Lonchura striata: one gene and its partner. The protein of the gene in region 1 purifies or fractionates together with the protein of each later gene. This does not show direct contact. Links are inferred from orthologs where the notes say so. Each region holds a gene or a part of one and is shown on either strand. Other genes may lie near its edges.

What was found.
Region 2: the proteins of CCNH (region 1) and ERCC2 purify together in Homo sapiens (affinity purification with mass spectrometry; 3 studies listed by BioGRID and IntAct, counting the BioPlex papers as one, with this or other methods). This does not show direct contact. The link is inferred for Lonchura striata from reciprocal best matches to the Homo sapiens genes CCNH and ERCC2.

What each region holds. Positions count from the first base shown.
Region 1 is NC_134642.1:53,248,683-53,264,585, forward strand, and holds the start of CCNH (cyclin-H), read right to left. Parts: upstream 6,269-15,903; 5' UTR 6,243-6,268; coding exon 6,126-6,242; intron 6,035-6,125; coding exon 5,912-6,034; intron 4,747-5,911; coding exon 4,673-4,746; intron 4,439-4,672; coding exon 4,228-4,438; intron 3,908-4,227; coding exon 3,744-3,907; intron 2,010-3,743; coding exon 1,939-2,009; intron 1-1,938. UniProt on the Homo sapiens protein: Regulates CDK7, the catalytic subunit of the CDK-activating kinase (CAK) enzymatic complex. CAK activates the cyclin-associated kinases CDK1, CDK2, CDK4 and CDK6 by threonine phosphorylation.
Region 2 is NC_134633.1:6,039,996-6,056,789, reverse strand, and holds the start of ERCC2 (general transcription and DNA repair factor IIH helicase subunit XPD), read left to right. Parts: upstream 1-9,418; 5' UTR 9,419-9,424; coding exon 9,425-9,429; intron 9,430-11,448; coding exon 11,449-11,548; intron 11,549-11,828; coding exon 11,829-11,906; intron 11,907-13,361; coding exon 13,362-13,424; intron 13,425-13,513; coding exon 13,514-13,627; intron 13,628-15,380; coding exon 15,381-15,491; intron 15,492-16,794. UniProt on the Homo sapiens protein: ATP-dependent 5'-3' DNA helicase. Component of the general transcription and DNA repair factor IIH (TFIIH) core complex, not absolutely essential for minimal transcription in vitro.

The DNA of each region.
Region 1 (15,903 bases):
AAAATGAAAAACTGAACTGTTGTTTTCTTTTTTTCCTCTTAGGAAAGCATCCTTGAAAAAAAATCCTAAAAGCACCCTGTCCATGCACTATAGTGAGAACATTGTGCATGGAAAGGAGAGTGTCACCATAACAAATTTTCTCCGGGCAGTGCCATATTTAACACAGAAACACAAGGAGTAACAGCTGTGTATCTTAGAGAGTCTGTGACACAAGAAAGACTTCTCTCTCCCTCGATAAACTGAATACTGATTATCTGAAAAGGAAAGACCTGATTAGAAGTCCAAGTTGTGTCTCACTGTAGTTTGTTAGAATTGTGGGGGGAGGAAGAAGAATGTTTTAGAAAGTTTTCATTTTAAATTTAATGTGTGGTTTTTTTTCTTCTTTTTTTTTCCTTTTACAGTAGTAGTAATTTAATGAAGTTTTTCCTTTGTTATTAAGCTTGAGCCTACTCTACTATGTTCCTAATCGTATCTCACAGCAATCATTTGGGGGGTTGCATTTTCATAAAAGCACTAACATACCAGTGTCAAACCATGACAAGAGATCAGTGACAGGGTGACTTTGGTGGTCACTTGGCAACTTTGGTGGTCACTTGGCATCAAGCTGGGGTCAACCACCACACTTGATACTCACATAAGCTTATCCAGTCTCCCGTGTGGCTGATTATTGCTTATGTCATAATCAGGCTTCAACCAACAGTTCATCCTTCCTTTCCTTATTATAACTACACTGAAACAAGTCTCCAGGATCACTGACTTTGGATTTCCTTAAGGCAGGGTTTACATTACTCTGCTAACAAGCTTCAAAATACACAGGTATTTTTTGCAATCAACCTTGTACTTGCTGTCCTAAAAAAAATCCAGTTCCAGTCTTTCTAATAGTGCAAATTAAATTTATGAGTCTTTTTCTCTATCACCAGTACTCTGTAGAAGTAATTTACAAATTGTTTGAAAAATTTCCTTCCAACCGTCTTATGTTTATGGAAGAGTTGCCTCTGGGCTAAAGCTAGCATCCACAACAACTGAAGTGAAGAGTAAGTGATCCCAGCATTCCCTTCTACCTCAGCAATGGAAGTCTGAAGACTTGATTTGTTAGGAGACCAGAAAGTAAAGGACATCTTAAATATTATAAATTAAAGGTAAATTGAATTGGTAGACCATGGATACTTGTATGGTGCATTCACTGCTCATGTCAGCCAGCCTAGTTTTACTGCCATCACTCCCATTTTAAGTGCATGCATTAACTTAATGCATTCAGTACCTGATTACTTACTGGGAATTTCATATCACAACCTTTTCATTTAAATACAAGCAGGTAATAATCAGTGTACTATACTCCCTTTTAGCTTAGCTAAACCATGGTAGTATTCTTAATATTTGAAAAATATATACACAGATATTTCTCACACTAGTGAAGCTAAGCATCTTCTGAAACATAGACGCAAAACAAATGTGCAGTGTAAAACTGGCATATCACATTAGTCATTTAGCTTACAAAACGTACCTTCTGGTGGTAGTAATTACATGCAGACTTTGCCTGAAGCTGTAATGTTTAAGATATGGTGACATAATAAGCAATTTAGTTCTGTCCTACTGATACTGTTATATAATAGTTTTCTCACTTTTGAATCAGCTGCTAGCACCTTGACTCTAGCTAGCACTTACATTCTGAAAGCATCACGCAGCTCCTCTGCCTGGTCATTTATTTATTTTTGTTCATGTTCATTTGTTTAATTTATTTGTTCGTTTTGTTTCAGTCTTTTTTCCTCCTCCATCTACATGCTGGGTAGTTCATTCTGTCTGCAGTTTACTTATGCCTGTCTTAAGGTGAAGAGAGCTATCTGAAGCAAAACTATCTAAAGCTTTTGTAATATGGAAAAAGATGGTTCTTCCTTGTTTTGATATATTCTTTAATATACTTTTCCAGTGTTTACTTACATTTCATGTCATCCAGTAATCGGGATAAGGTTGATCTGTCTTTTTTCAGCTTAAGACTTTCTGATAAATAGCTAAAAAGAGACATTGAAAAATAAATTTTTAAAGTGTCATAATAATTTATGGTAATCATCTGTGATTAGTAAGAGTGTATTATTTATAATGAACATCTCCTAGAGCTTTATAATTAGATAAGTAAGAACACTTTGTTTACTTAAGTGCTATAAAGTAATAAAAAAGCTAATCTGTCACTGTAAGAAGGTGACAAAAATATTCCTCCAGTCATGTAGAAATGCCACTGCCAAATTAGGTATTTCTAATCCTCATGGAGCTAAGTCAAATTACATTTATGACTTTATGACACATCATACTATTGTACAGTATGCCTACAAGACAAGCAAGCACTACAGTGGTTTTCAGACTAACCAACAGCAGAGCTTGCAAGACAGGCCTGCTTCTTTTGGCAGCTGAAAGCTATTACTAAACACTGTCTTGCCTGAGCCTACGGGTTCCTTCCTCTTCCCAACCAGATGAAACTTCTCTTTACTAAGAACACAAATGCACATTGCCTGGATAAAACAGACACGAACAATCCTCCTCACTCACACCCACAACAACCAAAGAGTTCCATCCCTTCCCCCATGAGAGCAATGGGTTTTCCAATTTTCACGTGTTCTGTACCACCTTTGCAGCTCCACCTGATCACAGATACACAGACCGTCAGCTGCATCATCAGCTTCTCTCATGTCTGCAGCAAAAACTCACAAACAGTAAATGGCAAGGTACATACAATTGTATGGTGCAGACAGGTAGCAAAGACTTGAATTCTTCCTGAACATGACAACAAAGTTCAGACACCTTGAATTCCACATTAGCTATAAATTATTTTCATTCTTTTTGCAAGCATGGTTTTCTGAATTTTGGCACAAGCAGTACAGAATACAGATCTAAAAATGAGATCAAATTTCAAGTAGAAGTAAGCACCTGAATGTTTTTATACAATTCTTAGAAGACAGTGAATCCTGTAAAGAATACTCCCAACGCTCCTTATCTTAGAACTACAGAGATTTGACATACATTTAGAACAGATGGAAGATCAGAAGAACTTTTTGGGTTTAGAGCAGGTGTTAGACTCCAGATGCAAAATGCTCACAGGCATGTTATTAAAACATGCCAGGTACAGTTTCTTGCAGCAACCACCTCAGCTGTTCATCTGAACAAAAGCATACATTTTGTCCAAAAGAGAATTAAACCAACTACACATTTCAACAAAGATATCAAAGTGTTTGACAGTACCTCTGCAAACACCAGTGGCAAGGACATGCAAGATGTACTTATGGGTTTCACAGAAGGGAAAGAAAAGAGTGATTTAAAGCAACACCTTAGCCCTTGTGCATACCCATGGCAACTGAACAGTTGCAGCAATCAAACACAGCATGTTACAGCATGCCCATTAGCTGTCAGTTCAGTGTAATTTCAGTTGACTCTCAATTTCTACCATATTTCCACTTTCTTCCCTGTCTAACCCTCAAACTGAGTCTGAAAACCCTAAGCTGTTCTAATTAAGGGAAAGCTGTCAGGGTTTTAACTTCTTTTAAAGGAATATAAAAACCAGACAGCAACTAACTGCTTTCATCACCTATTTGTGAAAATGAACAGTAACACTTCCATTCTAAACCATAAAGAACAGATGAGTGCTAGCAATCAACAAATACAAAATTCTAGTAATTAAGAATGTCTAAGCAAAACAGTTTTATACAAGAAGCAAACAGATTGTTTAAACCACACATATAAGAAAATAATACTACCTTTCCATATTAATTCCTGCTCTTGAGCCACTAGATAATATGGCAGTGAGAGCAATCTGTGAGGGAGTAAAGAGCAGATACGCATCTGTCAGAGCCACTCGATTAAGGAAGTCATCAGCTGTTTTCCTTAAAACTTCAGGATTTTCCAGCACTGGATAGCGAGTCTAAAAAGTAATGATTTAGAAAAAAAGGCAGCTGTTTGTCATTCTTCTTCATGAGTTCAGAATACACAATTCAACAGTATTTTATATAGCTAAAAAGTAGCAAGTTTTTAGCTAAAAAGTAGAAGTTTTTATTCCAAAAATATCCCAAATAACTTAAAGACCACAAGTAAGACAACTGTCTTTCAGGTATTTGTCTATCACTATGAAAATTAGATTTTTTAAATCACAGGCACAAAAGGAAATTAAGTTTTTTAAGTCAATGCATGACAGACTTGTATCACTTTACTATACAAAGCATATAGCATATCGGAGAGTATTACCTTAATATCAATTAGAAATCCCTCAAATGGTCTGTATGGGTTGTGGATGATCAGATGGAAGTTCAGTTGCTGAATAAGTAGCAGTTCATATTCTAGTATTTGTTCAAGAGCCTTTTCCTGTCCAGGAGGACTTTCTCGAAGGTTACCAACAAACTGTGCACTAGATACATTAAATTCATCTACTTTACAGGCCAAAAATGTGCATGTTAGCCTTGAGGAGGGAAAAAAAAACCCAAAAAAGCAAATAATTGACATATGCAGCATCCATTCTCCTACTGAAAGTTCTGATCAGAAAATGTGTATTTTTAAATATGTTCTGAATACAGCAAAAAGATAGTGAAACTGACCATATTTTGTCTTTACTCCTATTTAAGTTCTCAGATTTTCTTTCTTAGTTTTTTTTTTTTTACGTCTTTACAAATATAAAGAAGTATTGATAACTCACATTATTATCCGAGGATGATGCTCCATCACTGAGTTATTGAGGTAAAAACGTTTAAAATACATGCAAGCTGTACCCTAAATAGAAAAAAATAGGGAGGTAAAAAAAAATGGATGAAGAAAAAAAAAATAAAATAAAAAGAAACTCCCCTCCCAAAACGGGCAAGTTTGGATATATGCTACAGGCACACAGGATACACTGAGGCACTAAGACACATACAGCCAGAAATTAAGTATTTCACACACACAGGAATGAAGTACTTCAAAGTCTTTTTTGCCTGCAAGAACCTTATACTACAACTGTAATACAAAACAATTTTCCTTGTTTTTAGACATGTTTTAGAAGACAATGCCTAAAAAGCCAAGAGTCCCTTTATGAAAATAACCTGGTATTAAAATGAAATTTAAAAATCAAAGGCTGAAAAAAATCATCCTCAAAGTTGCAAGCAATTGAAACAATTTGATTTTTTACATCAGTAAATTTTGCAGCATGTTTATCAGCATGAAAGTCGATGCTTTCCAAAATTAGACTCTGCAGGAGCTAGTTCTCAAACATCAATCTGGCTTCACATGCCATGACAGTGACTGTTACCTTTCAAAGACACCCTCAAGCACAGTACTCAACACACATGCTTGGAAAAGTGAGGACTAATGTAGGACAATGTAAATCATACATCTTAATGTCTTAATGAGTGAGGCACAATTTCACTCTGTTCAGCTCTATGTCCCCACTTCTCCCTTCTGAAATACGGTCTTCTGCATTCAAGACATCTAAGTTCAAGGTAATGTTTTTCCTTTGTAGGGTAATGTTTTCCCAGTACACGATCCAGCTTATTTTGTGGTCAGAGAAGCACTAATGCTAGAGAAACATCTGAATGACAGCCCAAATTTGGGACCGTCTCCTTCAGCGACTGGGAGATTGTTTCATTGTATCATCAAACATTAGCACCAATCATCTACAACTATTTTGTTTCTACTCTTTGCTAAGGGGAAGCAAAACAATTCAGTCACCCAAGCAAGTTTAAGAGCCACAAGCAAAAGATCACGTTGAAAAGTATCAGGTTTTGAAATGGCTCTACGTGTCAGAAAACAAGACAACAAGCTGCCACAGACTGTAATGCTAGAAGGAGAGAAGAGAGATGAAGAGATTTAAAGATATCCGCGCTCTCAAGAACAAGCCAAGAAGGCAGCAAGCGAAGGAATAAGGAAGGCCGAGGCTACGGCTCCTCCTCGCCTCGCTTACCACAACGGACCGCGGCATCGAGGGCTTGAATGCGGCACAGAAGTCCAGCAGCCTCTTTTCGTAGTACTTGCATAGCGCCAGCTCCTCGTGTGGCTCCAGCAGCACTGGGTCACCCTCCGGCACCTTGGGAGAAGCAAAGCCGCGCCTGAGTTCGCCGCCCCTGCCTCCCCGCTCCGCTCCGCCCCGCGCCCGCAACCTCCGAGCCCCTGCGCACCTTTCCGCTGGCCACCGCCCTGGCTCGGGCCCGGCGGTTCCCCTCAGCGCGGCGCCGCGCCAGTTCCTCCTCGCTATGAAAGAGCCAGTGCCGGCGCTGCGTGCTGCTGTGGAACATGGCCCCACAACATGGCCGAACCCGCGCGCGGCACGCCGGGATCCGTCGTAGCGTGTGGGGCGCGGCGGGGCGGGCGTAGAACACTTCCTCGTGGAAGAGGGATGTTTCCGTTTCCTTTTACAAACTTTTAATTTTTAATGAAGGGCCGTGGCAAAACAGTATGTTGTAAACTTTTGCATGCTTGTGTTTCCTTTTCGGTTTTATTAATGTATACTTGCAAATTTACATTGCACTTGTGCAGCCTCACGTCGAGTGCTGGGGACAGTTTTGGGCACCGCAATGTAAATCAGACGTTAAGCTACTATAGAGTATCAAGGATGATGAAGGGTCTAGAGAGGAAGCTATATGAGGAGTAGCTGAGGTCACTTGGAATGTTCAGCCTGGAGAAGAGGAGACTGAAGGGAGACCTCATTGCAGCTTACAACTTCCTTGTGAGGGAAGAGGAAGGGCAGACACTGATCTCTTTGTGGTGACAGTGACAGGACTCGAGAAAATAGCATGACGTTAAGCGTTAAGTCAGTGGAGGTTTAGGTTGGATATCAGGAAAGTTTTTGACCGACAGGGGAATTGGGCACTGGAACAAACTCCCAAGGGAAGTGGTCTAATCACCAAGTCTGATGGATTCAGTAAGTGTTTGGACAAAGCTGTCAGGCACGTGATGTGATTCTTGGGATGTACAGTGCAGGCCCAGGAGCTGGACTTTATGATTGTGGTGGGTCTCTGCCAAGTTAGAATATTCTGTGATTCTGCTCAGTAAAGTTCCTTCAGTAGTCTCCTGCTCTCCCCCAATAACCACTATATATAAAATCCAGTTATACTATTAAGGAAGCAGCATTTCATGTTTAAGCTAGAAATTTTAGATATTACAGTGTAGTATCTAATATTTGTATTTGACATATGTGAGGAAAGTATGTAAAACATAATTGTGTGGACAGTCACAGGACTTGTAGTTAAAAATGTTACCCAGCAAGTAACATAAATTCTTTTAAAAGGAGTTTATGCAGCAGTGGGAGAAAAATTCTTTTAACCTTAGGACAGGTGTTTGTGCATTAATCCTATCTACGATTAATGCTTTGTTTTGTATCATACAGTGCTTACTACAAACACTAAGGATAAATGTGGGTTTAAGTCTCTACATCTGTGACTAATAAGCCTCGTGCCACAACTAGTGTGGGAAATTATATAACTTTACTCATAATTTTTCTAATAGATTATTTTAATTATCTCTTGTAATTAATCATTTTAATTATTTTGAAGCAATGTAATTTTACGCTCTGTCATATGCCACTGTAGCTGGCATTTAGCAATGTTGTCATAAGCTGGTATTGTGGGAACATGGTTTGGGGAAATTACTGAAACTTTAAGTTTCACTGAAACAAGTGAATCAACACTTTGATATGTTTCAATAATCTCAGACCAGGAAGGATGTTAACAAAGCCTTGCAGAGACATCTATTGTTGAAACTAGATGCAGGTAATGGAAAATTCATGAACAACGAGGACATTTTGCAGAAACTCAAGATAAAGAAAAAACTAACCAAGTCAATGCATGACAGACTTGTATCACTTTCAGTTCAGCAATTGTACTGGATGTGCTGTTTGGGAAAAAGATAAAAACACTGGAGAGCTGGGCTAATTAGCATGAGACGTGAGAAAACAAATAGGAGATAGAATACTTACTAATGAAGAGAATTATGGAACTTACAGTCAATGAACATTCATTTCTTTATTTGTTACAGTGCATAAATAGTGAAAAGTTTTGGAAGTGGATATATGTGTTAGGTGAAGCTATCCCCATGTACCAAACATATTGAAAAATATCAGCTTTCTAACAAAAAACTGGTTAGAGAGTTTGTTTCCTGTTTTTTAGTGACAAAGGGGTTCTTTGTGAGCTGACATGACGAAGGTCCTTTCCCTAAACTACACAAGAAATAACTGTATTATCTGCATAGTCTGAATCCATCAATACTTTGCCTTAAATTATAGTAATCAGCACATCCAGCATATAAACAGTTTGAAATCTGACCAAATCTGAGTTCCAAGAGCCATATATACAAAAAATACCAAAAGGGTGCTGTTGTGCATCTGATTGTGACAGTTTCACAAATTAGAGACTCATAAATAGTGCATGTTATTCTAATACTCAGTTTGCTGAGTATTATTGTTAATACATTATTTTACATCATCACTCTAAGAGTAAAACGTAAGAATAGGAATGAAAATTTCTAAAGAGAGCAGTACAGAGGGTAAAGCAGATTTTTTTTTATTTTTTAAAGACTCCATTTCTTTTATGCCTTTCACTTTTCAGAATCTTTACTTCAAAGGTATGTCGGTTTAAGGATACCAAACAACTACGGACTTCACTGATTGTAGTTCTTCTGTAACTTTAACTGGTATGGTGAATTATTAGTGATTCTAAAATTCAGTCTGAAAGTGGAAAAAGGCAGATTTAGATAACATATCTGGAAAAGTAATTATAAAATACCTTTGTGTTCTTGGTCTGAGACCAAGCTATGAACAGAACCTAAAATTTACTGTTTCTGGTTCTCTGTTGTTTTTCTCACAATAGTTCTCTTTACCCACAACACAATTTTGGTATATTATCTTGTAGCCAAATAGGTTAGTAAAAAGAAGAAATAGTGCAATGTGATTTTTGTGCAAGTAATAAGGTCTACAAAGAATGGTATAGAATACACTAATAAAGTGCAGAGTGAGTATAAAAATTTTTACGACATTCAGAAAGATAATTACAAGAACTGAAAGGTTTTTTGGAAAGTGAAGCTATGTAAGTTATTAATCAGTTGCTCAACTCAGTAATAGGACTAACTTTATGTGTTATTTGGTCTGGACGTTTAGAGAAGCTCTTATTCTCTTGAAGTTGAGAAGCTGAGGAATGAGAAGTTCACAGAATTCCTATCTGTGCTGGAGGCTGGGCGGAGTACAAGAGGCTTTGCTCTCACAGATATCATTTCTGAGGTGGGCCAGCAGAAGGGAACACTGGACAGTTCAGCATTGTTGGAGAGCCAGGCTTTGAATTGTCACGGTCCGCCACTCTGATGCCAGCCTCCACAGTTCAGTGATGGACAAGGGATGTCTGTCCCAATATTCCATTGCCCCTCTGCATATGTCTTGGGCTATTGCAACTCCGCTTTCTACTTCTCTTCTTCTCACCCATGTCTTCAGCTCACCATAGGTATTTCATGCCAGTCATCAAAGGCTCTGTCTTTTCTTCCCCTCCTCAGATGCCCTTGCACTTCACTTTCTCCAGTCCTGCCTCTACTGACATAAAAAACTCCACCCCAATGACCCTTTTCCCCATTGCTTCCAACATGAATTGATCTGGTCCCAGACTTGGGATTTGGGACAGCGTTATTTAGGCAATGTCAAACTTAGATGATGTTGCAGATACAGCTGCACTGACACTTTTCTCCTAAAAGGCTCCCCTTCCCAACATGTCTAGTTCTCCTGTGCAGGTTATCTGTGCATTTTGGCCATCTCTCGGGAAACACTCCTTCATGGATTGTGAAATCCAGCCATTCCTCATAGTGTCATCTGAAATTTTTCCCTGATTTCCTGAACCCCCTGTGCTGAATTTGTGATGATCTGTGATGGACCAAACTTTAACCTTGCTGTTTCTCCACAGCCATGTATCCATTAACTCAGATCTCATTGTTTGGTGATGCCCTCCTTTCTGGGGTGCACAAGAGGGCAGAGGGCAGCCTCCAACTAGCAGTATATTTCCAAGAACCACAGGGGTAGACATCATATTGTAACATTATTGGGTTGTGGAGGTGATAGTAATTCCAATAATACTCCTAGGAATAATCATAATTGTTGGAATCCTTGATGCTGAGAATTTTCAACTTTCTGTGCTGAAAGGCAGAGACTTGCAAGAGAGCACTGCATTTGACTTGAAGCTGTGGAGAAGACTTCCAAAATTGATTAATAGCACTGGAATTCTTAGTTGGTTAGAAGTGTGTAATATCACAGGATGGAAAACTTAGAGTTTGGGGTTTTAGAATACAGAAATAAATATAAAGCAAGATACAGGTTGTAGGGAGGAGAAGGGTTGTTCTTCGCCTTCTTCTTCCTTCTTCTTCATGGGTTTGGGTGATGTTTTGTAATTAGACAGAAAAGTCTGCATTGCAGGATTTGAGGTATCAGTTATTGGGTTAGAAGGGAAAATAGTCCAGGTGTCATTTCCTAATTGGATAGTTTAGTTTTAAAAGACCTTGTAACAAGAGATAGTTAGCCATTTTATGCTTTGCTAATGAAAGACTGCAGAACTCACAGCTGTGAGGTTGTTTCACTGATAAGAAATAATAAACACGTGAGTCCGACATGAAACACCGTCTCAAGTGCCTTCAATCCCAACCTCGACAGAGGTAGAAAAAACAAGCAGAGGACCCACACATAATCCTGGTGGTAGATTATGACTGTGACCTCACATCCATTGCTCTGTAAAATCAGGTGCTGTCAGAGCCTGGGCCAACCTGTGGGAACAAGTACACATGGCCACAGGGAAGGAGTGGAGCTGCCCCATCTGCTGCAATGCACCAGATGACATTGCTTACGCAATGCCCTGCGGCCACCAATTCTGCCTTGGCTGCGTCTTGCGTTGGGCAGAAAGAAATCCTGCCTGCTCACTCTGCAGAAGATCCATCTTGATAGTGAATTTTTCTGATCATGGTGGAGATGACAACCTACACTATGTTATCACACCTCCCAGAGAGTTGCCAGACACCAGCACCAGGCAGCAGAAGCTCCTAGAGGCCTGGCTGAAAACAGATCCCCTGGCCCTGCAGATTCCCTTGTTGCCTGTCCACAAGGAATAACAGCCCCTGCTCAGCAGCAGGCTGCAGGACCAGAAGCCATGGGTGGCATCCTGCCAGAGCTTTGGGCAGAACTTTGCTGAAGACAATGGAACCTCCTGGACCCTGTGAGGCCATGGCTGCACCAGGGGCTGGGGATTATATATGGGGGCAAGTAGTATGAGGTGAAGAATGCAGAGAGCGGCATTGTGCTCACACTCTGTGTCTATGGTCCAGACAGAGAAGTCTTGGTCCAGAGATTGCAGCCCCATCTCCAGCAATACACTGCATCACTGTCCATGGCATCCTCAATATCGAGACCCAGTGCAGTGAGGAGGTTTGGAGGCTGCTGCACTCTCAGACTGCCAGGGAGGAGGATGAGTGTAGAGTTGTGTTTGCACTGCATATCCCCTTATAATGGTTTGTCCCTCCATATCCCCTCTTTGTACCTGTTTGGTTCATCCCAGCTTTCCCATCAGTACCTGTATGTCCATCAAACCCCAACCCATCCCCCTGTCTCCTCCCAGGTGATGTGTCCATCACCTGGTGACCCTTCCCCTTTGTCCAGATCCTTCCCCCAGGGTCACCAGGTAACTGGACCCTGGCTGGGACTCCTCCCCCACCCCCTCCTCAGTGGTCACTCTGAGGCCTTGCCCCCCAAGAGCCACTCCCATGTCCTTCCCCCATTGCCTGCTTGGGTTTCCCCGCCCCCCCCCTATATCTGGCAGCTCTGGGCTGGGAGACCCTCGCTCTTGCTCTGGAGGTCCTTTGAAGCCAGATGTGGCCTGGGATCTCTCCAGGCCCTCATTAAACTTTGGAACTAATCCTGAGGGAGAGCGCCTCTTTCCTTTGCTTGTGGAACCAGTTCGTCTTTGGACTCATGTGGGAGCTTCTCCAAACCCCCTGGGATCCAAGGAGAAATTCCTTCCCTCTGCCCGCTTCGCCCCACTGCCCAGCTGGCCGGGCTCCACAGGGGTTCTATCTGTTGCCTTCATGGAAGACAATGGCGACCTGGTTGCAAGGAACAGCACGGCAGCCCAGTCTCCCCTGGGCCACTTGGGCTAACGACACACGCAGGCACCAGTGTGGTGGACGGTCGAAAAGCGTTTATTATCTTATCTCATGGGTTTAAATAGTCTTGGGGGACTCTGCTATGTCAGGGGGGGTTGGCAGGGTCTCTAGGGTTAGTCAGGAGTGGAAGACTACTGGGTTAGGTGTGGTTACATTCTTTGGGGTAATGGATAACATGTTGCAGGGTGAGAGGGGGATGGGGGTCTTCCTTTCCGTCACATCCCTAAATCTTCCGTTCGCCTGTCGCTATCTACTACACTATCCCCGTGGATTTGAGGGGGAGACGCAGCAGATGAGATCCCTGCTGCCAGCTCTGATCCCCCTGACTCTCAGGAGGGTGCTCCCACCCTCAGCCAGGCCCCATCCAGTGGCATTGCAAATTTCAACACGGAGGAGGAAGCCAGCACATTGGAGAGTGCCCTTCATGGACGTCCCAGCTGCTCCTCATTTGTGTCCATCCCTGCAGAGCAGAAGCAGCCCCAGGAAGTGCTGGGGGAGACAAGAGTGGCTGCAGGTTCCTCTGCTCCTGGCCAGGGCACTGAGCCCTCACCTGTGATATCCGCCGAAAGAGGAGGACCCCTAGGTCCGCAGATGCCTCCCATTCCAGCAAGAGGCAGCACCATGATCAGCTCTAGAAAGGCCGCAGCAAGCCTTTACTCAAGAAAAAAAAAAAAAAAAAAAAAGCTATTTCCTTAATGCATGCAGTCTCAGGTTGCATTTTCCTTCCTCTTCTCCTGAAGCAGTTTTCCTTTAACCTTACACACCAGTGTCAGCCAAAGGCTTCTGGAGCCTTAGGGCCACGTTGGCAGAGCTGCCTCCCCCAGGAAATGCTGCTGCATGTTGCAGATGATAGATAGATATGATTGTTCATAAATAATACAGCTAGGATGAGAACAGTTCTCCCAGCTAGCCGGATGTCACTCCTGCCCCTGGATGAGTCCTGGAGTGAAATTGACTGTTCCATCCCACCCCCCAAAAGAGGTATGGCTCATCCCACACCTCTGTACCTTCCCCTAAAACATCAGTGTCTGTAACCCCATTGGCCCATACCTTATCCCAGCCCACCTAGGAGCCCCTGATAAGGAGGCTCCGAGAGGCCATGCGGTCTCTTGGAACTTTTTCCCCCTCTTAGACCTCTCCCCCTCCCTTGGAACCTCCTCCCCTCCTGAAGCTTCCCCTCTCCTAAACCCTCCTTTTGTCTCTCCCCTCCCCCACCCTCTTAAGCCCGGCCACGTGCTACGCCTAAGAGCACGAGGCTCGGACCTTCCTGCACCCCCAATAAACCTTTTTCCCCAAGAGCAACCTTCAGAGATCTATGCCTCCCTCCACCCGCACCGTGCTGGAGCGTGGTCTTCCCACAGCTGCAGCCACAATGATGGAAGATCTTGAGAGAAAACACTGGGGTGGATGCTTAGAGAGGAGTCAAAAGGGAAAGACTGACCAAGCATTCCTCAAGCAAGCAATGGAAAGCCGTGGAAATGCCTTGCACCATTTCTGCTCAGTGCCTTAGGGAGAAATGTACTGTTTGCTGATGTAGCTGGGGAGAATCACATTGCTTGTCTTGCTGAGCATCCTTAATTTAATACAGACCAGGGCACACAATGGCTGCATGAGATTCAGAGGGAGGAAAATAATTTGCATCCTAATTTTTGCAGCTATGTGTCTTGTTTGCTGATGAATGAGAGTTCTTTTTTGTGTGTTTGTTGATTATCTGTCTTAGTCTCAGACTAGGGGGTGTCCAATACATAAGATGCTGTGTGATGCCTTTGTATCCAAAAAATGAGTAAGGATTATAAAAACTCATTGACCGTATTTTCAAAACTGTACTTTTTTACCAAGTAATAGGAGTAACTCTTTATGTGTTATTGGTCTGGATGTTTAGAGAAGCTCTTATTCTCTTGAAGTTGAGAAGCTGAGGAATGAGAAGTTCACAGAATTCCTATGTGTGCTGGGGGCTGGGCAGAGTACAAGAGGCTTTGCCCTCACAGATATAATTTCTGAGGTGGGCCAGCAGAAGAGAACACTGGGCAGTTCAGTATTGTTGGGGTGCCAGGCTTTGGAGTTTCACAGTCTTCCCCTCTTTGACACCACTCTCCACTATCCAGTAATGCACAAGTATCTTGTTTTGAAAAGATGTGTCTGCTAAGAAAGGTAGGAGCCTCCCTTGAGATGGAAAATGTGCCCCTCCTCCCTCTGTATTATTATAATTTTGAAATTAAGTGGCTTTCAAGTGAAGATGTGGGAATAGGAATAACAGTCCTTTAGTAGGAAAATTAAAATACGAATACAATAGTACAAAAAAAACCCCAAAAACCACTGACATAGTCAGAATACGACCTGACACCCTGTTGGTCAGGGTGTTGGTAGCAGTCTGATTAATGTTGGCTGCAGTCCTTCTTGAGTCAGAAATGTGGTTCCGTTGAAGTAGTGATCCTGTAGAAAGATGTAGTTTTCCTCTGAAGGTTCAGTGGTGGTGTAGATGGGCCTGGTCTTCCTCTGGGAATTCAGTGGAAAAGAAAGTTACTCCTCTGGTAATCCAGGCAGAAAAGGCTGGCTGTGCTGTTCTATATCTCAGATTATATCCAGGTAGGAATGCTTGGCTCCTCCCCCGAATCTTTCTCTCCCTGAAATGAAAACAATCTAATGTGTGTCAAACTTGGTGTCACAAGGAGACTAAAGGAGTATGTATTTCTGGCTTATTTGAACATCTTTCATGCAAGATATATACTTAAATGTCACGAATTCACCAGTGTTGCTTGTCACAGACCATGGTGAAAAGAAGTGCTATACAGACTTTGGACTTTTAAACACCAGTGTTTTGCTGGTCCAACCTAGAACAATCCTAGAACTCTGAAAAAAGGGTAAAATAACTCACACTTGATGTTGCAAGCCTGCAGCAATGGAAAAAAGTAATCCTGAATCAGAGCTTGTTCAAGAGTGCTGAAACATACTGGGAGGCACAAATCCTATAAAACTATGTCTAAAACCAGAATGCTTGAAGCTGTGGAAGGTGAACAGGGAGATTTGCCTTGCTACCAGATCCCAAAATATACTGAGAGCTACAGTAGCCCAATTTATGACCCTCTTGGGAAGGATGAAAAAGCCACAGAGCAATTAGCAGGGCTCAGACCTGCTGGAGAGGATATGAGGCCCTATCTGAAAATGATATGGAAGTTTGATTTTTTTAAGTTTACTCTGGAAAAGTAGAGAAGAATTTAGTGATAACAGGTAGGAGTTTAATTCTAGCATACCCTTTCCTATTCCCTCTGCTCTAATTGAGGTTGTTTATTTTTAATGCTGCAAACCCAGTGAGAAGCCTTTTATTTTCCCCCTCTCCTGAGGGGGAGATAGAATCCCCTTCACAGCACTTAGTTGACTGATAATGCCGAAGCTATATAAAAGAGTCAGGTGATACAACACATTGAAAACAGGGGTCAAAGAAACACAGTATTTTTCAATAGTATAAGTTCAGGATAAATTTTCTTTTCATGTGAATTCCTCCCATTCCGAGCTGAAACTGAGAAAACAATATGTCACTAGAGAGGTCCCAGCTGTGTCAAGGTTCAGTAATGACTAGAAGTCATGAATGACCATGCCTCCACAGATGTCTCTAGGGTTTGCAGGATAGCAGTGAGATCAGAAAATTATAAAAAGGGCCCGCCAGAAACTGCTGCAGCCTGCAAATGCCTGAGGCATTTGTCTGGGACAAAGCTGTAGTACCTGTAGTAGATAGGGACAGGCGAACGGAAGATTTCGGGATGTGAAGGAAAGAAAGACCCC
Region 2 (16,794 bases), on another chromosome or scaffold:
CCCCGGGATCCACTGAGGGATCCGGGCCGGCCCCGACCCCGCCGTGTGCCCGGGCTCCCCGCAGGAGATGTGCCGGGCGGCCTCGGAGGCGCTGCGGCCCCGGGCGGCCGCCGGATCCCGGCGGGATCCGCTGGATCGCCGGGAGCGGGAGCGCCAGGATCACCGGGATCGGGAGCGCCAGGATCACCGGGATTGGGATCACCAGGATCGGGATCGCCAGGATCCCGGGGATCGGGAGCGCCAGGATTGGGATTGCCAGGATCCCCGGGATCGGGAGCGCCAGGAGCAGCGGGATCGGGATCACCGGGATTGGGATTGGCGGGATCCCCGGGATCCCCGGGATCCCGTCGGGGCGGCGGGCAGGATGATCACCAAGAGCCTGAGCCGGGATCCCGCCCCCCGGCGCCCCCCCGGCGCCGGGATCTGCGTCACCGTCCCCAACGGCGCCGGTAAGGCCGGGAGCGGATCCCCGCACCGGATCCCCACACCGGATCCCCCCAAACGGGGCTTCCCCCCGCCCAGAAGATCCTGGGATCTCTCAGGGATCCGCTGGGGAGCCGGGATCCCCAGTCGGGGTTTTTCCCGGCTTGAAAGATCCTGGGATCCCCCAGGAATCCACTGTGGGGCCGGGATCCCCAAATGGGATCCCCAGCCGGGGATTTTCCTGCCCAGGAGATCCCAGGATCCCTCAGGGATCCACTGTAGGGCTGGAGAGCCTGGGGGAGGCCAGGGGGTGGGGATCGGGGGATCCAGAGGGGTTGGGATCCACCCCGAGGGGCTGGGATCCACCCAGAGGGGCTGGGATCCACCCTGAGGGATCAGGAGGGGCTGGGACCCATCCCGAGAGATCAGAGATGATCCTGAGGGATCAGGAGGGGCTGGGATCCATCCAGAGGGATCAGGGAGAATCCAGAGGGATCAGGGAGGGGCTGGGATCCATCCCGAGGGATCAGGAGGTGTTGGGATCCACCCCAGAGGGATCAGGGAGGATCCGGAGGGATCAGGGAGGGGCTGGGATCCACCCCAGAGGGATCAGGGAGGATCCAGAGGGATCAGATGGGGCTGGGATCCGCCCAGAGGGGTTGGGATCCACCCTGAGGGATCAGGGAGGGGCTGGGATCCATCCCGAGGGGCTGGGATCCATCAGGAGGGGCTGGGATCCATCCCGAGGGGCTGGAATCCCTCCCGAGGGATCAGAGATGATCCTGAAGGATCAGGGAGGGGCTGGGATCCATCCTGAGGGATCAGGGAGAATCCGGAGGGATCAGGGAGGGGCTGGGATCCATCCTGAGGGATCAGGGAGAATCCGGAGGGATCAGGGAGGGGCTGGGATCCACCCCAGAGGGATCAGGAGGGTCTGGGATCCATCCCGAGGGGCTGGGATCCATCCAGAGGGATCAGGGAAAATCCAGAGGGATCAGGGAGGGGTTGGGATCTATCCCGAGGGGCTGGGATCCATCCAGAGGGATCACGGAGGATCCAGAGGGATCAGATGGGGCTGGGATCCACCCAGAGGGACCAGGGAGGGACTGGAATCCATCCCGAAGGACTGGAATCCATCCTGAGGGATCAGGGAGGATCCAGAGGGATCAGGGAAGGGCTGGGATCCACCCAGAGGGATCAGGAGGGGTTGGGATCTATCCCAAGGGGCTGGGATCCATCCAGAGGGATCACGGATCTATCCCAAGGGGCTGGGATCCATCCAGAGGGATCACGGAGGATCCAGAGGGATCAGGGAGGGGCTGGGATCCATCCAGAGGGATCAGGAGGGGCTGGGATCCCCCTGGCAGGACCAGGGGTCTGTGGATCCCGGCGGATCCCGGCGGATCCCTGCCCGATCCCTGTCCCCTGCAGGCGGCTCCGGCCCCGCGGCGGCTCCGGCGGCTCCGCGGCAGCGCCGGGTGACGGCGGCGGCGCCGGGGCGCTACCGGATCTCCGCGCCCGAGCGCCGGATCCCGCGGCAGATCCCGCGGCTGATCCCGCGGCAGATCCCAGGTGCGGATCCCCGGCGGATCCCCGGCGGATCCCCGATCCCGCAGCCCCGCACTTCCCTGCTGGGAAAGGGCAGGGGATCCCGAATTTCCCCTCCTGGGTCCTGGAATTCCCCTCCCGAATCCCAGATTTCCCATCCAGATCCCAGATTTCCCCTCCTGGATCTCAGATTTCCCCTCCAGATCCCAGATTTCCTCTCCTGGATCCCGGATTTCTCTTCCAGATCCCAGAATTTCCTTCCCAGATCCTAAATTTCCCTTCCAGATCCCAAATTTCCCCTCCCAAATCCCAGATTTTCCTTCCCAGATCCCAGATTTCTTCCAGATTCTGAATTTCCCTCCCAGATTCCAGAATTTCCTTCCCAGATCCTAAATTTCCCTTCCAGATCCCAGATTTCCCCTCCCAAATCCCAAATCTTCCTCCCAGATCCCAGAATTTCCCTCCCAGATCCCGAATTTTCCCTCCCAGATCCCAGAATTTCCCTTCCAGATTCTGAATTTCCTTCCCAGATCCCAGATTTCCTCTCCCAAATCCCAGATTTCCCTCCCAGATCCCAGATTTTCACTCCAGATCCTAAATTTCCCTCCCAGATCCCAGATTTCCTCTCCCAAATCCCAGAATTCCCTTCCCAGATCCCGGATTTCCCTCCCAGATCCCAGAATTCCCCTCCTGGATCTCGAATCCCCCATTTTCCCCAAAATCTTCCATTTTTCCCCAAATCCCCCCATTTTTCCCCAAACTCCCCCAAAATCCCCCATTTTCTCTCCAGATCTACCATTTTCCCCCCAAACCCCCCATTTTCCCCAAATCCCCCCATTTTTTTTCTCCCAAATCCCCCCATTTTTTTTCCCCAATTCCCCATTTTTCCCCAAAATTCCCCATTTTTCCCCAAATTTCCCCATTTTTCCCCAAATCCCCCCATTTTCCCCAAATCCCCCATTTTTCCCCAAAATCCCCCATTTTTTTCCCCCAATCCCCCATTTTCCCCCCAAAATCCCCCGTTTTCCCCCCAAATTCCCCATTTTTCCCCCCAAATTCCTCATTTTCCCCCCAAATTCCCCGTTTTCCCCCCAAATTCCCCATTTTCCCCCCAAATTTCCCATTTTCCCCCCCAAATTCCCCATTTTCCCCCCAAATTCCCCATTTTCCCCCCAAATTTCCCATTTTCCCCCCAAATTCCCGATTTTCCCCAAATCCTGGGATTTTTGCCCCGTTCCAGCCCCGGCCCGGCCGTCGGTGTTCGAGCGCCTCGGGGCCGAGGCCAAAGCGGCCGCGGGGAAGGTGAGGGGGATCCCGGGGATCCTGAGGGATCCGGGGGGATCCAGGGGGGATCCCGGGGATCCGGGGGGATCCAGAGGGATCTGGGGGATCCGGAGGGATCTGGGGGATCCGGAGGGATTTTGGGGGGGATCGGGGGGGATCCAGGGGATCCGGGGGGATCCAGAGGGATCTGGGGGGATCCGGAGGGATCTGGGGGGATCTGGGGGGGGATCCTGGGGGGATCTCGGGGATCTGGATGGATTGGGGGGATCCGGAGGGATCTGGGGGGAATCCGGAGGGATCTGGGGGGGATTAAGGCAGGGGTCCAGTGGGGGATCCTGGGGGGATCCTGGGGGATCTGGGGGAGTCCAGAGGGATCTGGGGGGAATCCTGGGGGGATTTGGGGGGATCTGGGGGTAACTGGGGGGATCCAGGGGGATTTTGGGCAACTTGGAGGGGATTTGGGGAGTCCAGAGGGATCTGGGGGGATCCAGAGGGATCTGGGGGGGATTAAGGCGGGGGTCCAGTGGGGGATCCTGGGGGATCTGGGGGAGTCCAGAGGGATCTGGGGGGAATCCCGGGGGGATCTGGGGGGATCCTGAGGGATTTGGGGGGGATCCGGGGGGATCGGGGAGGTCCAAGGGGAATTTGGGGGTAACTGGGGGGATCCAGGAGGATTTTGGGGGACTTGGAGGGGATTTGGGGGGATCCTGAGGGATCGGGGGGGATCCAGGAGGATTTGGGGGGGGGTGGGGGGGTGGTGGTGTCCAGAGGGATCCTGGGGGATCTGGAATCCAGGGCGGGATCTGGGATCCACTTGGGGATCGGCATGGGGGGATCCTGGGCGGGATTTGGGATCCGGGGCAGGATCAGGAGTCAGGACCCAGGGTGGAATCAGGCTCAGGGATCCAGGGCGGGATCTGGGATCCACTCAGGGATGGGCCATGTGGGATCTGGGGCAGGATCTGGAATCCAGGGCGGGATCTGGGATCCACTTGGGGATCAGCCAGGCGGGATCCTGGGTGGGATTTGGGATCTGGGGCAGGATCAGGAGTTGGGATCCAGAGCGGGATCAGGCTCAGGGACCCAGGGCGGGATCTGGGACCCACTGGGGGATCCGGGATCCACCCTGGACCGACTGGGGGATCCGGGATCCACCCTGCACCCACTGGGGGATCCGGGATCCACCCTGCACCCACTGGGGGATCCGGGATCCACCCTGCACCCGCGTCCCCGCAGCCCTCGGGGGTGTTCAGCCGCCTGGGCGCGGCACCGGGGGACTCGCCGGGGGATCCGCCGGGGGATCGGCCGGGGGATCCGGCGGATCCCGAGGCGCTGCCGTACGCCGGCGTGCTGAAGCGGCGCCGCGAGGGCGCCGGGCCGGCGGCGCAGGACGGCGCCGTGTCCAGCAGCAGCTCCGGTGGCGTCTTCCGCAGGCTGGGCCGCCCGCCCCGCTGAGAGCCCGTCCCGGGGATCCACCGGGATCCACCGGGATCCACCGGGATCCACCGGCAACAAGAACTGGGGTCCCTGCGAGAGGGGATCCTGCTGGATCCGCTGGGATCCACTGGCAACAAGAACTGGGGTCCCTGCGAGAGGGGATCCCACTGGATCTTCCGGGATCCCCTTGGAATCAGCAGGAATTGGCCGGGATCTGCCAGGATCCAATGGGCGAGAGCCGGTCCCGGGGATCCACCGGGATCCACTGGCAACAAGAACTGGGGTCCCTGGCAGTGGGGATCCTGCCGGATCCACTGGGATCCCCTTGGAATCAGCGGGAATGGGCTGGGATCTGCCAGGATCTGATGGGAGCGACGGCGAGAGCGGATCCACTGGGATCCACCGGGATCCACCGGGACTGGCAACAAGAACTGGGGTCCCTGCGAGAGGGGATCCCGCTGGATCCACCGGGATCTGCCGGGATCCACTGGCAACAAGAACTGGGGTCCCTGCGAGAGGGGATCCTGCTGGATCTGCGGGGATCCCCTTGGAATCAGCGGGAATTGGCTGGGATCTGCTGGAATCTGATGGGAGCAACGGCGAGAGCGGATCCACTGGGATCCACCGGGATCCACCGGGACTGGCAACAAGAACTGGGGGCCCTGCGAGGGGGGATCCTGCTGGGATCCCGCCGGGATCAGCCGGGATCTGGCGGGACGGGTGGCGAGATCGGGGATCCTTGTGAGTGGGGATCTGGCCGGATCCACCGGGATCCCCCTGGAATCCGCCGGGACCGGCACCAGGAGCGGGGATCTGTGTGTGTGAGTGGGGATCCAGCTGGGATCGACCCCGGGGGATCCCTCGGGATTGAGCGGGAATAGAGGGGATCCCCTGGGGAAAAAAGGGGGGGATCCAGCTGGAATCGAGGGGGATCCAGCCGGAATCGAGGGGGGATCCCCTGGGAATCGAGGAGGATCCAGCCGGAATCTAGGGGGATCCAGCCGGAATCGAGGGGGGATCCAGTCGGAATCGAGGGGGATCCCCTGGGGAAAAAAGGGGGGATCCAGCTGGAATCGAGGGGGGATCCAGCCAGAATCGAGGGGATCCCCTGGGAATTGAGATGATCCCCTGGGAATCGAGGGGGATCCAGCCGGAATCAAGGGAGGATCCAGCCGGAATCGAGGGGGGATCCAGCCGGAATCGAGGGGATCCCCTGGGAATCGAGGGGGATCCAGCCGGAATCGAGGGGATCCCCTGGGAATCGAGGGGGATCCAGCCGGAATCGAGGGGATCCCCTGGGAATCGAGGGGGATCCAGCCGGAATTGAGAGGATCCCCTGGGAATCGAGGGGGGATCCAGCCGGAATCGAGGGGATCCCCTGGGAATCGAGGGGGATCCAGCCGGAATCGAGGGGGGATCCAGCCGGAATCGAGGGGGGATCCAGCCGGAATCGAGGGGATCCCCTGGGAATTCCCCCCGGAACCGAGGCTGGATCCCGTGCGGATCCCGTGGGAACCCCCGGGTGGATCCCCCCAGCAGATCCCGAGGCCAAAGCAGCCCCAAAATCTCCTTTTTTCCCCCCAAATTCCCGGATCCTTTCCCGGGATTCGGGAGCCCAGGCCCCCAAATCCCAGCCGGGGCCGGATTTGTATTCCCAAGTTTTGGGGTTTTATTCCCAAATTTTCTGGGGTTTTATTCCCAATTTTGGGGTTTTATTCCCAATTTTGGGGTTTTATTCCCAATTTTGGGGTTTTAGTCCAAATTTTTTGGGTTTTAGTCAAAATTTCTGGATTTTTATTCCAAATTTCTGGATTTTTATTCCCAATTTCTGGATTTTTATTCCAAATTTCTGGGGTTTTATTCCCAATTTTGGGGTTTTATTCCCATTTTCTGGATTTTTATTCCCAATTTTTTGGGTTTTATTCCCAAAATTTCTGGATTTTTATTCCCAATTTCTGGGGTTTTATTCCCAATTTCTGTAGTTTTATTCCCAATTTCTGGATTTTTATACCAAATTTCTGGATTTTTATTCCAAATTTCTGGATTTTTAGTCCAAATTTTTTGGGTTTTATTCCCAAAATTTCTGGGGTTTTATTCCCAATTTCTGGATTTTTATTCCAAATTTCTGGGGTTTTATTCCCAAATTTTCTGGGGTTTTATTCCAAATTTTGGGGTTTTAGTCCAAATTTTTTGGGTTTTAGTCAAAATTTCTGGATTTTTATTCCAAATTTCTGGATTTTTATTCCCAATTTCTGGATTTTTATTCCAAATTTCTGGGGTTTTATTCCCAATTTTGGGGTTTTATTCCCAATTTCTGGATTTTTAGTCCAAATTTTTTGGGTTTTATTCCCAAAATTTCTGGGGTTTTATTCCCAATTTCTGGATTTTTATTCCAAATTTCTGGGGTTTTATTCCAAATTTCTGGGGTTTTATTCCCAATATCTGTAGTTTTATTCCCAATTTCTGGATTTTTATTCCTAATTTCTGGGGTTTTATTCCCAATATCTGTAGTTTTATTCCCAATTTCTGGATTTTTATTCCCAATTTCTGGATTTTTATTCCAAATTTCTGGGGTTTTATTCCCAATTTCTGGATTTTTATTCCAAATTTCTGGGGTTTTATTCCCAATTTCTGGGGGTTTATTCCCAATTTCTGGGGTTTTATTCCCGATTTCTGGATTTTTATTCCCAATTTTCTGGGGTTTTATTCCCAATTTTCTGGGGTTTGATTCCCAATATTTGGGGGGTTTTATTCCCACTTTCTGGATTTTTTTTCCCATTTTCTTGGATTTTTATTCCCATTTCCCCCCAAAAAATTTTGTTTAAAAAAAAAAAAAAAAAATTAAAATCCCTGAGGGGAATTTTAGGAGCAACTTCCCAAAAAAAACCCCAAATCCTTCCTAAAAAACCCTAAATCTTCAAAAAACCCCAAAATCCACCCAAAAAAAAACCCCAAATCCTCCCCAAAAACCCCAAATCCCCCCAAACGTCCCAAAATCGCTTCAATTTGTGGATTTTGGCCCCAGGGCTTCCCAGAAATTCCAAAATTCTTCATTTCCCCCAAATTCCCTCTGGCCACAAACCCCAAAATTGGGATTTTGGCCCCAAAATTGGCCATTTTTGTTCTTCCCCAAAATCAGTTTTTTTTTCTTCCCCAGAATTGGGGTTTTCCCCCAAAATTTGGGTTTTTTACCCCAAAATTGAGGGTTTTTTACCCCAAAATTGAGGCTTTTTTTCCCCCAAAATTGAGGTATTTTTCCTCAAAATTGAGGTTTTTTTACCCCAAAATTGAGGCTTTTTTTCCCCCAAAATTGAGGTATTTTTCCTCAAAATCGAGGTTTTTGTATTCCCTAAAATTGGGGTATTTTTCCCCAAAATTGGGTTTTTTCCCCCCAAAAAGAATTCGGGGCAGGGGACACCGAGCTGGGGGATTTTTTAATCAGGAAAAAAATGAAATTTGGGATTTTTCCGATCCAATTTGTGCCTTTAACCCGAATTTGGGATTTTTTTCCCCCAAATTTGGGATTTTCCTCCACCAATTTGCGCCTTTTCCCCCAAATTTGGGATTTTTACTTGGTTTTTTTTCCCCAAATTTGGGATTTTTTTCTCCTTCAATTTGGGTTTTTCTCCTCCAATTTGGGACTTTTGTGGTTTTTTTCCCCAAATTTGGGATTTTTTTCTCCTTCAATTTGGGTTTTTCCCCCAAATTTGGGATTTTCCGCTCCGCTTTGTGTTTTCCCCTCAAATTTGGGACTTTTATTTGTGTTTTTTCCCCAAATTTGAGATTTTTTTCCCCCAAATTTGGGATTTTTTTCCCCAAATTTGGGATTTTTTTTTCCCTCCGATTTGTGCCTTTCCGCCCAAATTTGGGACTTAAATATTATTTGTGTTTTTCCCCAAATTTGGGATTTTCTCCCCAAATCCCGGCTGGTTTTTTGCCGGCGCTTCGGGTGAATTCTCGCGGGAGCTTTTTTGGCAATAAAAGCGTGAAATGCAAATAAAATTAATTTATGCAGATTTATGCAAATGAGTTTCATTAACGGATAGGTGTGGGAGGCCACGCCCCTCTCTCACCCCGCCCTCGGTGACGTCACAGCCGCAAATCCAAAAAAAATCCCCCAAATTTTGGTCGCCCCTCCCCCAAAAATCCCAAAAAAAACCCCCAAAAAATCCCCAAAAACCCAAAAAAATCCAAAAAACCCCAAAAATCCCCAAAATTTTTGGCCGTTCTCCCCAAAGTCCTCAAAAATTTTTTTAAAAATCCAAAAAATCACCAAAATTCCCCAAATTTTTTTGTCGCCCCTCCCCCGATGTCTCCAAATGCCCCCAAAAATCCCCGAAAATTCCCCAAAAATCCCAAAAAATCTCCAAAAAAACCCCAAAATCCGCAAATTTCTTCTCATCCCCCACCCCGACAATGTCTCCAAAAATCCAAAATTTTAATCGCGCTTCCCCCAATGTCCCCAAAGACCCGAAAATTCCCCAAAATTCCCCAAAAATCCCCAAAAAACCCCCAAAATCCCCAAATTTTTCCTCTCTGCCCCCACCAGCCTCCCCCGATCCATCGCTCGGCGCTCGATTGCTCCTCCCCGGCAGCGCTCTCCCCCCCCCCCGTGAGTGGCAGCTGCGGCAGCCAATGGGAGAGCGAGGCGGGATCAGCGCTGACCAATGGGAATGCGCGGGGCCGGCGGGGGGCGGGGCCTCGGCGGCGGCGCGAGGCAGCGGCGCGAGCCATGAAGTGAGGGGGGATTTTGGGGGAATTTGGGGGATTTTGGGGAATTTTGGGGAATTTTGGGGATTTTTGGGGAGTTTTGGATTTTTTGGGGGGAATCCGAAGGGATTTGGGGCGATCTGAGGGAGATTTTGGGGGTTTGGGGTGAAATTTTGGGAGTTTTGGGGTGAATTTCGGGGGGATTTTTTTGGGAAATTGGGGGGGAATTTTCGGGATTTTGGGAAATTTTGGGGCGGTTTGGGGGAGACTTTGAGGGAATTCGATGGGGTTTGGGGGGAATTTGGGGGGGAATTTTGGGGAGATTTTGGGGGATTTGGGAAATTTGAGGGGAATTTGGAAGGATTTGGGGGAGTTTTGGGGGAATTTTGGGGATTTGAGGGAATTTTGGTGAATTTGGGAGGATTTGGGAGGGTTGGGCAGAATTTTGGGGGAATTTGGGAAATTCGAGGGAATTTTGGGGGGTTCTGGGGGAGTTTGAGGGGTTTGGGGAGTATTTTGGGGCTTTTTGTGGGAATTTTCGGGGGACTTTTGGAGGAATGTTGGGACCTTTTTGGGATTTGGGGGGTTTGGGGAGAATTTGAGGGGATTTGGGTGGAATCTTGGTTTTTTTGGCGGGGATTTGAGGGGATTTTGGAGGATTTGAAGGGATTTGGGGGGAATTTGGGGTTTTGGGAGAGATTTGAGGGGATTTTGGTGAATTTTGAGGGATTTTTGGGGAAATTTTGGGATTTTGGGGGAATTTGGGGGGGATTTTGGTGAATTTTGATGGATTTTTGGGGTTTGGGGAGGAATTTTGGGGTGATTTTGGAGAATTTGAGGGGGGTTGGGGATTTTTGGGGGGATCTGAGGGAATTTTGGGACTTTCGAGCCACCCCTGCCCCCCCCCCGAGGATCTGAGGCTGTTCAAAGGCTCCGGAACTCCCCAGGTCCCCCAAAATCCCCCAAATTCCCTCCAAAATCACCCCAAAATCCCTCGGGATCCACCCCTGGAACCCACTGGATCCCCTGGGATCCCCCAGGCTGAACGAGGACGGGCTCCTGGTGCTGTTCCAAACCCCAAAATTCCCCAAAATCCTCCCAAAATCCCCTCAAAAACCCTTTCAAAACCCCCCAAAATGCCCCAAATCCCCCAAAATCCCTCAGGATCCACTCCTGGAACCCACTGGATCCCGCAGGCTGAACATGGACGGGTTCCTGGTGCTGCTCCAAACCCCAAAATCCTCCCAAAATCCCCCCCAATCCTTCCCAAATCCCCCCAAATCCCCCCCGAAATCCCCTAAATCTCCCCTAAACCCCCCAAAATCCCTCGGGATCCACCCCTGGAACCCACTGGATCCCCCGGGATCCCCCAGGCTGAACGTGAACGGGTTCCTGGTGCTGTTCCAAACCCCAAAATTCCCCAAAATCCCCCCCAATCCTTCCCAAATCCCCCCAAATCCCCTCCAAAATCCCCTAAATCTCCCCTAAACCCCCCAAAATCCCTCGGGATCCACCCCTGGAATCCACTGGATCCCCCGGGATCCCCCAGGCTGAACGTGGACGGGCTCCTGGTGTTGCTCCAAACCCCCAAATCCCCCAAATCCTCTCAAAATCCCCTCAAAAACCCTTTCAAAAACCCCCCAAATCCCCTAAATCTCCCCTAAACCCCCCAAAATCCCTCGGGATCCACTCCTGGAATCCACCGGATCCCGCTGGATCCCGCAGGCTGAACGTGGACAGGCTCCTGGTGCTGCTCCAAACCCCAAAATTCCCCAAAATCCCCTCAAAAATCCCCTCAAAAACCCCCAAATCCTCCGAAATCCCTCGGGATCCACCCCTGGAACCCACTGGATCCCCCGGGATCCCCCAGGCTGAACGAGGACGGGCTCCTGGTGCTGTTCCAAACCCCAAAATCCTCCCAAAATCCTCCCAAATCCCCCCCAATCCTTCCCAAATCCCCTCCAAAATCCCCTAAATCTCCCCTAAACCCCCCAAATCCCTCGGGATCCACCCCTGGAATCCACCGGATCCCCCGGGATCCCGCAGGCTGAACGTGGACGGGCTCCTGGTGCTGTTCCCCTACGAGTTCATCTACCCCGAGCAGTTCTCCTACATGCTGGAGCTGAAGCGCACGCTGGACGCCAAGGTGGGATCCACCCCGGGATTCACCGAGGGGATCCACCCCGGGGATCCGCCCCGGGGATCCACCCCGGGGATCCACCCCGGGGATCCACCCCCGGCTGGGATTTGGGGGCCCGGGCTGCCGAATCCCGGGAAAGGATCCGGGAAATTGGGGGGGAAAAAGGAGATTTTGGGGCTGTTTTGGCCTCGGGATCTGCGGGGGGGATCCACCCGCGGGATCCACCCGGACCCGGGGGATCGGGCGGGATCCGCCCCCCCTGAGCGCCCCTCCCCTCCCCCCCCAGGGCCACGGGGTGCTGGAGATGCCGTCGGGCACCGGGAAAACGATCGCGCTGCTCGCCCTCATCGTCGCCTACCAGCGGGTGCGGATCCGCCGGATCCCGCCGGATCCGGGGGGATCTGGGGGATCTGGAGGGGATTTGGGGGATTTGGGGGGATCTGGAGGGGTTTTGGGGGGGATCTGGAGGGGTTTTGGGGGGATCTGGAGAGGTTTGGGTGAGTTTTGGGGGGATCTGGAGGGATCTGGAGGGGTTTTGGGGGGATCTGGGGGGATCTGGAGGGGTTTTGGGGGATTTGGGGGGATCTGGAGGGGTTTTGGGGGATTTGGGGGGATCTGGAGGGGTTTTGGGGGATTTGGGGGGGTTTTGGGGGGATCTGGGGGGGTTTCGGGGGGATCTGGGGGGGATTTGGGGGGATCTGGAGAGGTTTGGGTGAGTTTTGGGGGGATCTGGAGGGATCTGGGGGGATCTGGAGGGGTTTTGGCAGGTCTGAAGGATTCTGGGGGGATCTGGGCTGATTTTGGGGGGGATCTGGGGGGGATCTGAGACGATCGGGGGGGATCTGGGGGGATCTGGAGGGGTTTGGGGGGGGGTCTGAGGGATCCTGGGGGATCTCGGAGGGATTTTGGGGAGTCTGGGGGGATCTGGAGGGGTTTTGGGGGGATCTGGGGGGGATTTGGGGGGATCTGGGGGAGATTTGGGGGGATCTGGGTGTGGGGTTGGGGGGGGTCTGAGGGATCCTGGGGGATCTCGGAGGGATTTTGGGGAGTCTGGGGGGATCTGGGGGGGATTTGGGGGGGATCTGGGGGGGTTTGGGGGGATCTGGGTGTGGGGTTTGGGGGAGTCTGAGGGATCCTGGGGGATCTGGGGGGGTTTGGGGGGGATCTGGGTGGGTTTGGGGGGGATCTGGAGGGGTTTTGGCAGGTCTGAAGGATTCTGGGGGGATCTGGGCTGATTTTGGGGGGGATCTGGGGGGGATCGGAGACGATCTGGAGGGGTTTGGGGGGGGGTCTGAGGGATCCTGGGGGATCTCGGAGGGATCTGGGGGGGTTTCAGGGGGATCTGGGGGGGATTTGGGGGGATCTGGAGAGTTTTGGGGGGATCTGGGGGGGTTTGGGGGGGGTCTGAGGGATCCTGGGGGATCTCGGAGGGATCTGGGGGGGTTTCAGGGGGATCTGGGGGGGATTTGGGGGGATCTGGAGAGTTTTGGGGGGATCTGGAAGGATCTGGAGGGATCTGGGGGGTTTTGGGGGGATCTGGGGGGGTTGGGGGGGATCTGGGTGAGTTTGGGGGGGATCTGGAGGGGTTTTGCCAGGTCTGAAGGATTCTGGGGGGATCTGGGCTGATTTTGGGGGGGATCCGAGACGATCGGGGGGGATCTGGGAGGCTCCTGGTGGATCCCAGAGGCTCCGGATGGCTCCGGGGAGATCCTGGTGGATCCTGGGGTCTCCCCAACGCCCGGGCTGGATCCCGGGCTGGATCCCGGGTTGGATCCCGCTGGATCCCACTGGATCCCATCAGATCCCTCCTCCCCCCCAGGCCCACCCGCTGGAGGTCTCCAAGCTGATCTACTGCTCCCGCACCGTGCCCGAGATCCAGAAGGTCGGGGGGGGGGTCCGGGGGGTCCGGGGGGTCCCGGCGGATCCCGGCGGATCCCGGTGGATCCCTGAGGATCCCGGGGCTCCCGGCAGGTGGTGGAGGAGCTGCGGAAGCTTCTGGAAGGCTACGAGAGGGAGCTGGGCCAGCCCCTCCCCCTCCTGGCGCTGGCGCTCAGCTCCCGCAAGAACCTCTGCCTGCACCCCCAGGTGGGATCCCGGGAGATCCCATGGGATCTGGGGGGATCCAAAGGGATCTGGGGGGATCCGGGGGGATCCAAAGGGATCTGGGGCTCTGCCTGCACCCCCAGGTGGGATCCCGGGGGATCCCATGGGATCTGGGGGGATCCAAAGGGATCCGGGGGGATCTGGGGGGGGACCCGGGGCTCTGCCTGCACCCCCAGGTGGGATCCTATGGGATCTGATGGGATCCAAAGGGATCTGGGGGATCTGATGGGATCCAAAGGGATCTGGGGCTCTGCCTGCACCCCCAGGTGGGATCCCGGGGGATCCAAAGGGATCCGGGGGGATCCGGGGGGATCCAAAGGGATCCGGGGGGATCCAAAGGGATCTGGGGCTCTGCCTGCACCCCCAGGTGGGATCCCGGGGGATCCAAAGGGATCCAGGAGGATCCAAAGGGATCTGGGGCTCTGCCTGCACCCCCAGGTGGGATCCCAGGGGATCCAAAGGGATCCAAAGGGATCCGGGGGGATCTGGGGCTCTGCCTGCACCCCCAGGTGGGATCCCGGGGGATCCAAAGGGATCCGGGGGGATCTTAGGGGATCCGGGGCTCTGCCTGCACCCCCAGGTGGGATCCCAGGGGATCCAAAGGGATCCGGGGGGGATCCAAAGGGATCCGGGGGGATCCGGGGGATCCAAAGGGATCCGGGGCTCTGCCTGCACCCCCAGGTGGGATCCCATGGGATCTGAGGGGATCCAAAGGGATCCGGGGGGATCTTAGGGGATCCGGGGCTCTGACTGCACCCCCAGGTGGGATCCCAGGGATCCAGGGGGATCTGATGGGATCTTGGGGGGGGGGGGGGGGGGTGGTCCAGGGGGAATTTGGGATCCCAGGACTGTGGGTAGATCCCAGTGGATCCCGCAGGTCTCGGCTCTCCGCTCCGGCCAGGAGGGGATCCCGCGGGGATTGGGGGATCCCAGGGGTGTCAGTGGATCCCGTCTGATCCCGGGATCCCGCAGGTGTCGGCACTGCGCTCTGGCCGGGAGGGGATCCCAGGGGGGATCCCAGGGGGATTTGGGGATCCCGGGGGATTGGGGGATCCCAGGGGGGATTGGGGATCCCAGGGCTGTCAGTGGATCCCGTCTGATCCTGGGATCCCGCAGGTGTCGGCGCTGCGCTCTGGCCGGGAGGGGATCCCGGGGGGGATCCCAGGGGGATTTGGGGATCCCGGGGGGGATTGGGGATCCCCTGGCTGTCAGTGGATCCCGGTGGATCCCGTCTGATCCCGGGATCCCGCAGGTGTCGGCGCTGCGCTCCGGCCGGGGGGGGAATCCCGGGGGATTGGGGGATCCCTGGGGGGATTGGGGGATCCCAGGGGGGATCCCAGGGGGATTGGGGATCCCAGGGGGGATTGGGGATCCCAGGGGGATTGGGGATCCCCTGGCTGTCAGTGGATCCCGGTGGATCCCGTCTGATCCCCGGATCCCGCAGGTGTCGGCGCTGCGCTCTGGCCAGGAGGGGATCCCAGGGGGGATCCCAGGGGGATTTGGGGATCCCAGGGGGGATTGGGGGATCCCGGGGGGATTTGGGGATCCCCTGGCTGTCAGTGGATCCCGGTGGATCCCGTCTGATCCCCGGATCCCGTAGGTGTCGGCGCTGCGCTCCGGCCGGGAGGGGATCCCGGGGGGGATCAGGGGGATCCCAGGGGGATTGGAGGACCCCAGGGGGGATTGGGGATCCCAGGGCTGTCGGTGGATCCCATCGGATCCCCGGATCCCGCAGGTGTCGGCGCTGCGCTCCGGCCGGGAGGTGGACAGCCGCTGCCTGGCGCTCACGGCCTCCTACCTGCGGGAGAGCCCCGGCACAGCCCGGCCCGGCTGCAGCTTCTTCCAGGTGGGATCCGGGGGGATCCCGAGGGATCCGGGGGGTCCCAGAGGGATCCGGGGGGTCCCAGTGGGATCCGGGGGGTCCCAGAGGGATCCGGGGGGTCCCAGAGGGATCCAGGGGGATCCCGAGGGATCCGGGGGGTCCCAGAGGGATCCGGGGGCTCCCAGAGGGATCTGGGGGGGATCCTGGGGGTTCCAGAGGGATCCTGGGGGGGTCCTGGGGGGTCCCAGAGGGATCCGGGGGGTCCTGAGGGGTCCCAGAGGGATCCGGGGGGGATCCCAGAGGGATCTGGGGGGGATCCTGGGGGTCCCAGAGGGATCTGGGGGGGTTCTGAGGGGATCTGGGGGGGATCCGGGGGGTCCCAGAGGGATCCGGGGGGTCCTGAGGGGTCCCAGAGGGATCCAGAGGGGTCCCAGAGGGATCTGGGGGGGATCCTGGGGGTCCCAGAGGGGTCTGGGGGGGTTCTGAGGGGATCTGGGGGGGATCCGGGGGGTCCCAGAGGGATCCAGGGGGGTACCAGAGGGATCCGGGGGGTCCCAGAGGGATCTGGGGGGTCCCAGAGGAATCCAGGGGGGTCCCAGAGGGATTTGGGGGGGATCCTGGGGGTCCCAGAGGGGTCTGGGGGGGTTCTGAGGGGATCTGGGGGGGATCCTGGGGGTTCCAGAGGGATCTGGGGGGTCCCAGAGGGATCTGGGGGGGTCCTGAAGGGTCTGAGGGGGTCCTGGGGGGATCACAGCCCCATTTCTGTGCCCCATTCCCATTTTTGGAGCCCCCAATTCCCATTTTTGAAGCCCCAATTCCCATTTTTGAAGCCCCCAGCCCCATTTTTGGAGCCCCCAGCCCCATTTCTGTGCCCCAATTCCCATTTTTGGATCCCCCATTCCCATTTTCGAAGCCCCCAGCCCCATTTTCTCCCCCCAGGAGTTCGAGGCGCGGGGCCGGCAGAGCCCCCTCCCCATTTCAGAGCCCCCAGCCCCATTTCTGTGCCCCAATTCCCATTTTCGAAGCCCCCAGCCCCATTTTCGAAGCCCCCAGACCCATTTTTGGAGCCCCCAGCCCCATTTTTGAAGCCCCCAGACCCATTTTTCTCCCCCCCAGGAGTTCGAGGCGCGGGGCCGGCAGAGCCCCCTCCCCATTTCAGAGCCCCCAGCCCCATTTCTGTGCCCCAATTCCCATTTTTGGAGCCCCCAGCCCCATTTTCGAAGCCCCCAGCCCCATTTCTGTGCCCCAATTCCCATTTTTGGAGCCCCCAGCCCCATTTTTGGAGCCCCCAGCCCCATTTTCAAAGCCCCAATTCCCATTTTTGGAG